Linked DNA regions of Coturnix japonica. The protein of the gene in region 1 binds, or shares a complex with, the protein of each later gene. Links are inferred from orthologs where the notes say so. Each region holds a gene or a part of one and is shown on either strand. Other genes may lie near its edges.

The links.
Region 2: DAB2IP (region 1) and ARHGEF6 share a complex: the UniProt entries of both Homo sapiens proteins name them as parts of the cytoplasmic complex. The link is inferred for Coturnix japonica from reciprocal best matches to the Homo sapiens genes DAB2IP and ARHGEF6.

Annotation. Positions count from the first base shown.
Region 1 is NC_029532.1:6,961,853-6,967,530, reverse strand, and holds the start of DAB2IP (disabled homolog 2-interacting protein), read right to left. Parts: upstream 3,573-5,678; 5' UTR 3,291-3,572; coding exon 3,149-3,290; intron 1-3,148. UniProt on the Homo sapiens protein: Functions as a scaffold protein implicated in the regulation of a large spectrum of both general and specialized signaling pathways.
Region 2 is NC_029519.1:4,237,707-4,242,584, forward strand, and holds part of ARHGEF6 (rho guanine nucleotide exchange factor 6), read right to left. Parts: coding exon 4,800-4,878; intron 2,584-4,799; coding exon 2,563-2,583; intron 1,595-2,562; coding exon 1,501-1,594; intron 1,016-1,500; coding exon 926-1,015; intron 220-925; coding exon 120-219; intron 1-119. UniProt on the Homo sapiens protein: Acts as a RAC1 guanine nucleotide exchange factor (GEF).

The sequences.
Region 1 (5,678 bases):
AACTAATGTACCTGTAGCATGGCCCAAATCCCTGTGGAAAGCAGAGCCGGGAGATTTCCAACATTATCATCAGTGTAACAAAAAATAACAGTGGAGAGAAACCTGTCCTGTTTATCCACTATCAGACTGCAGGAATTTCTGGGCACTGGAGCCCCATAGCAGCATGGCTCCCTGTTCTGGCCTGGTTTGCCACCCCATCAGTTTCAGCTCTTCAGCTGTTCTGGGCCTGGGCACATGAACATGAGATAAACGTGCCCTACACAGCAGGGCTGACCAGAGAGCTCTGAACTCCATGAACAGAGGATAACATCAGATGAGACATCAGGTAAGCTGTCTGTCACTGAAAACACCTGGAAGTGTGACAGATTTTTTTGCACGCTACATCAGATTGCGTTCATCTGGAGCCCAACAGAAAGCAGACCCCGACTGCCCTTAGAGACTTGCATAGAAAACACAAATTCTGCTCACTTTGCTTATCTAACATGCACTGCAGCACACTTTCCTGAGGCAGCGCTCATCTCTTCCTTGGTCCCCCCACAGCAAGGACTGCTTCCCCAGCATCCAGCCCCACAGCTGGGCAGGCGATGGACACAGCCCATCCCTGCCTTCCTCGGGTGAGCAGCATCCCGCAGCCACGCTCTGCGGGGGGGTCTCTGCCTTTGCCCTTGACGGGCTGGCGGTGGGAAGCGGCAGAATATGAATAGCTGCGTTTTAACACAACCTCTTCCTTATTCAGAGAACCTGGCAGACAGAAACCAGGTGGGCTCCCAGCGCAGTGGCACGGAGCCGTGCTGGCAGCAGATGGCAGCACCTGCACCTCCCGGGAGCCGCATCCGCGATTGGTGCCGTATTGCGAGCGGTTCCAGATGCCGGACGCGTGTCAGCAGAGATCTCCTCCTCCTGGTAAATGTGGAACAGCTGTTTGACCCCCAGCGAGCCCCTGGCCCAGAGCTGGCTGCCGCCTGCGGCACCGCGTGGAGAAGCTCAGCCTGCGGGCCCCACTGCTGCACAACCCAGCTGCATCCACGTGTGCTCTGTGTGCATTGTGGCAAAGGGGAGAGAAAGACTTGCTGAGCCAACAGCCAGGAAACAAGCAAGTGGCAAGACAGACCACAGCCAGTTCCTGTGAAAGCATTCCAGTACTCCTGAGTTTATGGTAACTTTCCATTAAGAATATCTGGTCTTTGAACAGCTTAGTTAGCAATGGCAAATGATGCTGCAGATAAGTACTTGAGAAGGTGATCCTAAGTTCCTTCCTTGTTTAGGAACTCGTAGGCTTTGGGAATTCACATTACATCAAAACCAAAAGCCCTACAGACTCATTGTGGTGTCCACATTCTCCGTTGCTCCTGCAGCCCTACCATCTGTCACTGTCCACTGACAAAACATCGGCATCCTGCCCTTCCTTCACTCTGCCCACACTGCCTCCAGCCCCACACACCCCAGTGCCCTGCAGCCCAGCACCATTCCTCCACAACTCGCTTCACTTGCTTCCTACATCTCTTACATACAAAAAATGACAAACAGAAAATTCTTGTCCAGATTTTGCTGATCCCCATAAGATCTGGAGATGAGAAGAGCCGAATGAGTGCAGAGCATTGTGAATCTCCTGGCAGGCAGGAATCCTACATACGTGTAACAAACACAAAATACTCAGGGAGGGATCAACAACAAGAAGATTTCATTTGGTTCTAATCTAATTTCTCACAAACATTAGAGCTCATTTCCATTTCAATCAAATCTGCTTGCATATTCCTTGTGCTCGCGACAATTTATGCTCATAAGTTCATACTGGGTAACCTAAAAGAAACAAACACATCTTGTTTGACTCGGTAACTGAAATGACAGTGAAATATTTTGGTCTTGAGCAGTATATGAATAAAGGGGGGAAAGGAGCGGTTGCATGCTTGTGGGCCTACAAACACTCCTCTTTGACAGTCAGAACAGAAAAAAAAAATAAATCAATGGAAAGAAAAGCTCTGTTTTGCTTATAGGAAAGGATGAGGCTCAGGGACTGATTTAGCTTCCTATTGTTTTCCCAGCAATGATTCCACATCCAGAAAAAGTACCGTAAGTCAAGGGAGGAAGAACACACTGTGCAAAGTTAAATCTTGCACTCCTGGGGTCTGTTCTGCAGTCTGGTAGGTTCACCCCCTCAGCACCAGGGACACAAGTACAAGCCTGGATTCACACATACACCTGATGGAGCATGAGGTGTTGCCATTGCACTCTTGGCTAGAGCTATTTATTCACATAAGGATGACAACTAAAAAGTTAATTCATGGCTTTGATTGAGCTCAGGACTTTATAAATATGACAGCATTGTCTCACTGAAGGCCAAACACAGCCCTTGTCCCTCCTGACTGCAAAGAGCTCAACACAGAACGACTCAAAGCCACCCGCCTGTTTGACTGCTTTAACAACAGGCACAAGCACCAACAGAACCGTAGCTCACACTGCAAGACACAGCCAGCATAGCTGATCTTTAAAAATGCATCTGGGTCAGTGGTTGCCTCAAGTAGAATAAACGGGCTGCATGAGTGAAACACCCTGCAGAAACATTACCCTGTGGACCCAACTCGTGCTGATGAGGACAAATGGGCCCTTTTAGAGAAGGATTTTTAAATGCGCAAAGTGATTTGGGAATACAAGTCCCAGAGGTTTCCCCGGTGCCTCAGGTGCACAACCTGCAGGCTCTGTCTAAAAAGTCTGCCCTTAAACTGTACTCAGCTTTGTAATGTTGAAACCCCTGGCGATACTCAGCAATTCATCTTGGCACACAGATAGCATCACTTAATCACGGATATTCAAATATCTATAATCATCAATTAGGCCTCCAAACATCTCAGCTGGCTAGAAAGAAATGGTTACCTTAATTATACACATTGAAATAAGCTACAGGTGGTAACAGAGAAGATGGGATTAATTGCAGTTACACGAGGAGTTACAGCCAGGCTGCCCAGCTCAGCGCCTCCATCCAGCCGCTCTCCCTCCCCTCACATCCCTGCAGCACAAGCAATGACCTTTTGCAAAGCCCAGCACACCTACATTCACACAGGTCACTCTTACTCACAGTAACGAAGCTACCTGTAAGCATCACCACGTATGTCTTTGCACTGCCAATTAAACAGAACTTGGTTGCAATTACCCCTACTAAGCGGCCTGTTCCGGCTCCGGGATCTGCTTCGCTGTCTCTGAAGTCGTGACCTCCGGAGCAGACGATAGTAGTAAGACGGTCTCCCAGAACTTTTCCTGCTGTTCATTGACATTTTTCTGTCTATTTTACACATGCACACATGCAGGCACAGGTTCACTCTCCCCTCTGGCAAAGTAGCAACAGTTCCAGCGTGTAATCAACAGGAGGTTGTTCTGTGCGGTGGAAAGGGAGAGGGGGGAAGAGGAACTCTTCACTTTACACATTTAAAAAGAAAAACAACAGGAAGAAAACATAAAAAAGACAGAGAGAAAAAAAAAATAAAGGAATGCGGCACCAGAGTACATGTCTCAGCAGAGGGAGGGCTTGAAGCAAGCAAGATAGACTGTACTAACAATTCCTGCCCCCAAAAAGATAAGCGCTTGTGCTGAAGTTGGAATAGGAAGCCAGAGTTGGCCTGGACTCTTGAAACATGAAGAAAAGGCTGGAAGAAATCCTGGACTGGATCATCCCCACTGGACAGCAGCATCCGACCGAGCAGCACTGGAGGAAAGCAACGCTTGCTGCAGGAGAGCAGCCGGGCAGCCCCTGCCTGCCAGCAGCTGCACGCTCCGGGATGGAGTGCCAGGCAGCCGGGCTGCAGCAGGAGGCAGCTATGGAATATGGGGCAGGAAGGGTATAACAATCTCCGGGCTATGGGACACATGTTAATAATCATCATGGAGCAAAAGCCCCGGAAAATAAAGTGAAATTTGAGAGGGGAAAACTTTAATTAGAACTTGAATGAACAGAGCTCCAGACTCCCCTGGAGGCCCATTTCCTTTCAACATTCAAACTGAGTTATAGCACATCCCATGAAATAGAGAAAGAGCCTATTTACCATTTGGGTTCTGATGGCAGTGAAGATTCTGTCTCCGGCTCATATTGCTCAATAAAATTACATTGCATTGGGCAGAATTAACGCTTTAAGCCATGGAAGAAAAGTGTAAAAGAAAACAGAATAACCAGACCAAAAAACTGACCTCCAGATTTAGTTTTGAAATGCCAGGTGAGAGGTAAATAGTCCATATTCCTTCACCAAAGCTCCTCTGTGGGCTGGCACAGATTGTGCCCTGCAGGACAAGCAGAGAGCACTGCAGAAACCCTGAGCCACAGCCAAGGACTGAGTGTGCTGCCACTCCTCATGGGTTGGCAGATAACAGAAAAATCTCTGATCAGAGTGGGGTGAACTGGAAAACATTTACACAACGCCTCTCTGTAGTGTGCCTTACTTCTGCTCTGCTTCCCAGACATTTGTGCAAACGTATCTCTGTGGTAGGACCAGGCAGGCTTGGCTGAGGATGAGCTGTGCTCCCTGCTTAGTTGGAGCTTCTGCAGGAGTCTGAAGGCTTTCCTGGGTTACACCGAGTTGTGCCTTCAGAAACAAGTAGCAGAAACCACCCGACCTTGGTTCCCTCGGTGTGACATCTCCTGTTAGTGCTTCATGTGGGAAACAAAAGGCCTTCTAGTTCTCCTAAGGACTGTCCCTTCCTTACCACCAGCAATCCACCCTACTTTCAGCATTTTGTACACTCACACAGTCATGAAAAACATTAGAACTTTACAAAACCTTTGTTGTCTTATTTACATATTATATAGGGAAAATATTGTGTTTATCAGTGGAGAAAGACCCTTTCGGGACAGGAAACAAGCCTCGGCCTTTAGTAAAGTCCATGCCTGGTTTTGAGGCCACACATAAGGAATTCAACAGCTTTTAGACTGTGCAGGAATGAGCCAATCACGGAAGCAATGACAAGTTCAGGTCAAGGAGGGAGCTCCAGCTGGACAGCAGAGGCTCCATCCCATGCTGCAGGGGGATGCTGCGTGGGGACATTGCTCTGCTTGCACCCAGCACCAGCTGTCACCCAGCCCCACAACACATCACAGCAAAAAGGAGAAGGCTTCGATTGCATGCACATCTGTTCTCACCTTGTTATCCAGAATGTTGGGGTTTAATTCATATTTGGGTAAATGAAAACACAAAAAACAATAAAGAAATGACAAAAAACTTTTCCCAAATGACCAGAGACTCATTCTGTACAGTTGATTTGGTTTGTAAATAGGGCCAAGAACAACTATAAGACAGTGATGGGAAAACCTGAAAATACTGAGGCTCAGTGACAGATCTGTTATAGACAAGAAGCCAAATGCTCACATCTCTCTCTGAATTTTGGTGTCCTAATGACTGAGCTGGTAGCTGAAAAGAAGCTTTTTCCTATTATGCTTTTATCATTAGAAATGTCCTTAAAAGAGCCGACCCACTTTATTTTTTACTCTATTTCCAAGAGAAAAAAAAAAAAAAAAGGCTCTGATGGAACTGAACGTTGAAACAAAACCATTTTAAAAGCTCATCCAAATTCAGACAGTCCAAAAGGGTGATGTCCACCCAGGTTGGTTTTGCCTAATTGGAACCACGTGGCTCATCCTCCAAGCACCTGGGATGCAGTGGGATGCAGAGCATCCATCCTCACCTCGGTGTGCAGGT
Region 2 (4,878 bases), on another chromosome or scaffold:
ATCTCTGAACTGCTGAGAATGCAGCACTGTACTTAAAAAGGGAGAAAATAGCCACTGGAACAGCCTGGTGCTCTTGGGATAAGGCAGCAGCCTGGCCAGGGGTCTGCAGCCTCACTTACTTTTCCTCTGTGACAGTCTGACCATTGCTTCTCGTTTCCTCAATGATGATTTTCTCCTCCTCGGGAAGAAGGACTTGGGGGATGGAGTCCTTTCGGGAGCCTGTGTGCAAGAAATGCTCATCAGGAAGAAAAAGGGAGATTTTTCCTGGAGCCCACAGCAGGGGCTGGGAGGGTGATGCAGGGGCTGGGTGTGCAGCTGGGCCAGAGCAGCGAGGGACAGCTTCCAGACCCAGAGCACTCACAGCTCCATCATTACTTATAAATGAAGTGCTTCGGGGAAGGTCAGGAGCTCTCTGAAGAACACGACCTCCCTTTCACAAACGTGCCATAATTTGATAGTTCAGTGATTTAATTTGACATCTTACCAGCAGTGATAAATACTTTTATTTCCAGCGTTGAAGATGGTAGATAGGTTCTTATGAAGCAGCTCGTTTTTAAATACGCAGCTGATGGAGAGATAATATTCATGCTTCCTTTCTAAAGCTACATGCAACCCGAGATTAGCATCAGGTTTTCAGTGCTGACAGCCACAGGCACTGACGAGGGTTGTTTAATTCCTAACAAGTGCTGGTGAAGTAGCTGCATCACATCTGCCCTCCTATCTGCTCATTCTCTGTGTTTAGAAGAAAAACAATGGCAACTAAACCACTGAGCAGATGAAGCTCCCTTATCTCAAAGATTGAACACCACACAGTTTCCTAACATGAGTCTCACTGCTCACTGATGTAACAAGCTGGGTTTTTTTTCCCAGAGGGTTATCAGCGCTACAGGCAGGAGGAGCATTCAAGAACCTGCTGTGTGCCCACCTGAGCTGAGTGCCTGCTGGAAGCCCGCCCCGGTGCAGTACGCCTCGATCACCTTCAGGATCTGAGCATCTTCCTCCAGTGCAGCAGTACCTGGAACACAGCACACACATCAGCTGCTGCAAAAGCCAAGATCTCTGTGTTCAGCCTTTGGGCATGAAGGTGTTGTTTCCTTGACTGACAGTCTTGGGACTTTCCCTAATTCCTTTCTGAGCTCCTTCACATTTTCTGGCCTTTGCAACATCCTGTGACACTAAACACCATGAAAGGTGTGAAGGCACACTTCTTGCTGCCTAGAGGAACTCAGGGTCAGAACGGCATCTCACTACTTTCAAGCAGCAATTTGGCTTTGTGGCCACAATGAACCACCTGCAGCCAGGTGTCCTCATGGTGGGAATCACACTGAAAGGACATGGTGCTGCTTGGGGCCCCAGCTCAGGGTCTGCACACAGCTGGAGCCCCAGCAGCACACAGGCTCACTGCTGAGCCGCATCCTGCAAGGGAAAAAAGGCCCTTCTCAAAGCCCTGTGGAGATTGCTGAGCTCAAACCTCAGAAAAGATCAAGAATCAGCACTTACTTTTCCTAATAACAAACTCTTCATCTGATGCTTTTCTCTCAGTTTTCCTTTTTGGAAGAAACTTCTTCATGGTTTTTGGACTTTTGCTGGAGTCCTATAGGGAAAGAGAGTGTTGTGTTCAACCAGCACCAAAGGCAGCTCCAACAGCAGAGCAGCTCAGGCTGGATGCAGCTATTGGTGCTACGCACAAAGCACTACAGCACTACAAAGCAGACAATGACAGCGGTGGGGGAAATGGTGTTCTTTGCTTTTCCCACATGTCCACTGCTCCCTCTCACACAGGTGGGAATTCATAGAATCATTCAGGTTGGAAAAGACCACTAGGATCCCCAAGTCCAACCCCAGCCCACCCCACCATGCCCATCACCACGTCCCTCAGTGCCACATCCCCACAATTCTGGAGCAGCTCCAGGGACGGTGACCCCATCACCTCACTGAGTAGAAACGTTTCCTAATTGCACCTGCAGGTCTGGGACAGGACACGCTCCTTTAGCAGATATCCCTCAGCTAACAGCCTTTGGCCAAAGAACTCAGCCACATTCACAGCACTTTGTGTTTGCTTATCAGCAATGTGGCCTCCGTCAGAAAACTTTAAAATACTGTTTATTTCCTTGACACAACTTGATTTCTAATAAAAAGAAGAAATAGCAAACAGCATTGCTTCTCAATGCACCGCATTTGCTTGAGAGTACAAATAACCCCCAACATACACAGAGAACAAACAAGCACACGCACAGTTAGTGTTTGCTGTGGCTCTGCTAGGAAGGAACACAAGCTCTTTGTCTCCTTCACTGAGTTACACGTCTTGCTGATTAGGAATTAGTACATTAATAGGTTACATGCAATTCCAGTTTTAAGGAACGATGAGGCATGCCAGGAAGTTTTAGTAGCAGGGTCCTAAATCCTTCTTGAGAGATCTCCCAGCATTTGCCAGTTGCCACTGACTCTCGTGTTAAGTTATAGATACAGCCAGGCAAAACAAGGGTTGTGCAAGCACAAGAAGCATGAACAGCACCAAGCAGCCTTTGCCACGACAAGCCAAAGAGATGGATCTACCCTTACCTTTAAGATATAAGACATCCTCTACAATGAATATGCAAAGAAAGAGAAGATGAGTGTGAGAGACTGATGATTTTACTGACCGAGTCCATTAAATCCACAATTCTAAAACACATTTAAATGTTAGTGCTGCGATTAATTCATCACACCCTCCACACTGCTTCTGCTATCAGCATGCAAAAGAGAACGGCGCCATGCAAAACTGACCGAGTTACATGGGAAACTCATGGGAAGCAGGCATTAATCCACTCCGAAGACATCCATAGAGAGAGCATGCCTCCTGGGTTAGTGGTAGGTTTCAGTAGATGTTGCTTGTTTAAGAGAATGGTGCTTAAAATGGGCTGACATCCACAGGACTGGTGCCTGGGGATAAAGGGATGCAGTGCTCTGCCCAACCTATGGCAAAGCCCAGGGCTGTGGCTTCTCAGAGGGCACCGCTCGGCTTTCCTGCTGCTCCAAGCAGCAGAAGTTACAAATCCCAGTGCTAAAAAACCCCTTCACCTAATGCAACCGACAAAAAGAAAGAAACGAAATGGAAATCATCTGTAAACCTTTCTCACTTCGCTAACTAACCTGAATCCGGGCACACTGCTTTACTCACAGCACCTGCTCTGTCACTGCAAATGATTACTGGAAACAGAACAGGAAAAATGACCCAATTTCAATGGAAATAACAGCGGTGCTGTGCAGTACGCAAGCAGGTTCTGGGGTTTCCTGAACACAGCTAGGTATGAGGAAATGCACAAGACTGTGCCATCCCATCCTACACCACCAGAAGCCAATTAAAGTAACAATGGATGTCTGAAAATCTCTCATCTTTTAATCAAACTCCCCCACGCTCTTCCCTGCAAGCGACACTTGAAATGGTTCTATTTGTTCATTGTAAAAACAAGGAGACTTGTGCTCGGCTGTTAGCATCGCTCATTTTGTGCTACAGTTTAATCTGGGACCAATAACTGCAATTGCCACTGCAGGGCCATGGGCTGCATGCCCAGGGCTATCACCTGGAGGTGGTGGAAAAGCTCTTTGCTATCAGAGGGCTCTGCAGCAGTGAGTGCAAATGAAGGCTCATGAAGGCTGGGGGTGCTGTGATACCACTGCTCCCATCCACACCACACTATTGGGCCTTCTAGGTGCTGTGTGCAGCCCCTTGGGGCTCCCTGCTGCCGGCAGCACCTCTCACCTCCTTTACACTGATGGTGTAAAAGATCCACGGCAGGGAATGAGTGAGAAATCACAAAGGAGATTGAGGTATTAACAAAATCACTCAATCTGTGGTTTTGGCCTCTATTGTAAATCGATCTCACCCTTGTACTTTCATATGGAAAAATTTCTCCTCTAATTAAAGTCTCTCCCTAGATTTCAGTGCACCGTGCAAGCACAAGGCTGTTTAGTCCACATTAAAGATTTGGAACATGCAAAGCTGAAGGGTGGTTTCCCACCTATTCATTTGGTTCCAGATCTATTTAATTCCCAAAGTGAAATGCGTTGTTTCATGAATTTGAAGAAATATATCAAAACACAGTGAAGCAACCTCAAAACCTCGGCCTGGAACAGTAGCCCCACAGCCCTGTGGGCGCTGTCCCTGCGTGCTGGGGGGCTGAGCTGCCCATGAGCCCTGTCCCCATCCCCATCTCTCTCCTCCTGGGAGCCCAGGCAGTGATGCTCCCATACTGCCGTACCCAGAAAGGCCGGTGACTCAGAACTGGAGTGCTCAGTCAGTAAGAGGAACGTTGCCACGTTACTGGTGAGTAATCCCAAAAGTTTAATGCAAGGTAGGGAAGGACGATGCTGCAGTTGCAGTGGGGGGTGAGAATGGGAGCAGGGGTTTATTTTGGGTTTCCCCATGCTGCCTCCTACCTCAGGCTGGGGGTTGTTGCGGGGGATGCTACACATCCCAGAGGGTGATGGGTGTGTGAATATGGGGTCAAACATCACGGCTGCTGCACCGCTCTGCTCGGGCCACCAAAACATAGGTATAAATCATACAAAACACCAGACCTGTCCCTCAGTGCAGCTGTGGGCTTGACACCGGGGATGGGGTTGACCCTGTAAATGCACACGCTCATGCTTCACTTGCAGCTCAAAGCCAGCTGCAGCAACCAGCATGCATCACTCATTTGCACAGCGTTTTCTCTCAGCATCCCTGTTGCCTAAAGGAGCAGCAAACCCACACTGGGGTAAGATGGCTGAACACAAGTGTTAAGGAATCACAGTGCTCACCAGGCACACGGCATTACCTCTTTGTAACTCAGCGCTGCCGATGGTCGGAGGGGAGGAGCGGGACGGAGGCAGCTCAAGCTCCAGGGTTTGAGGATT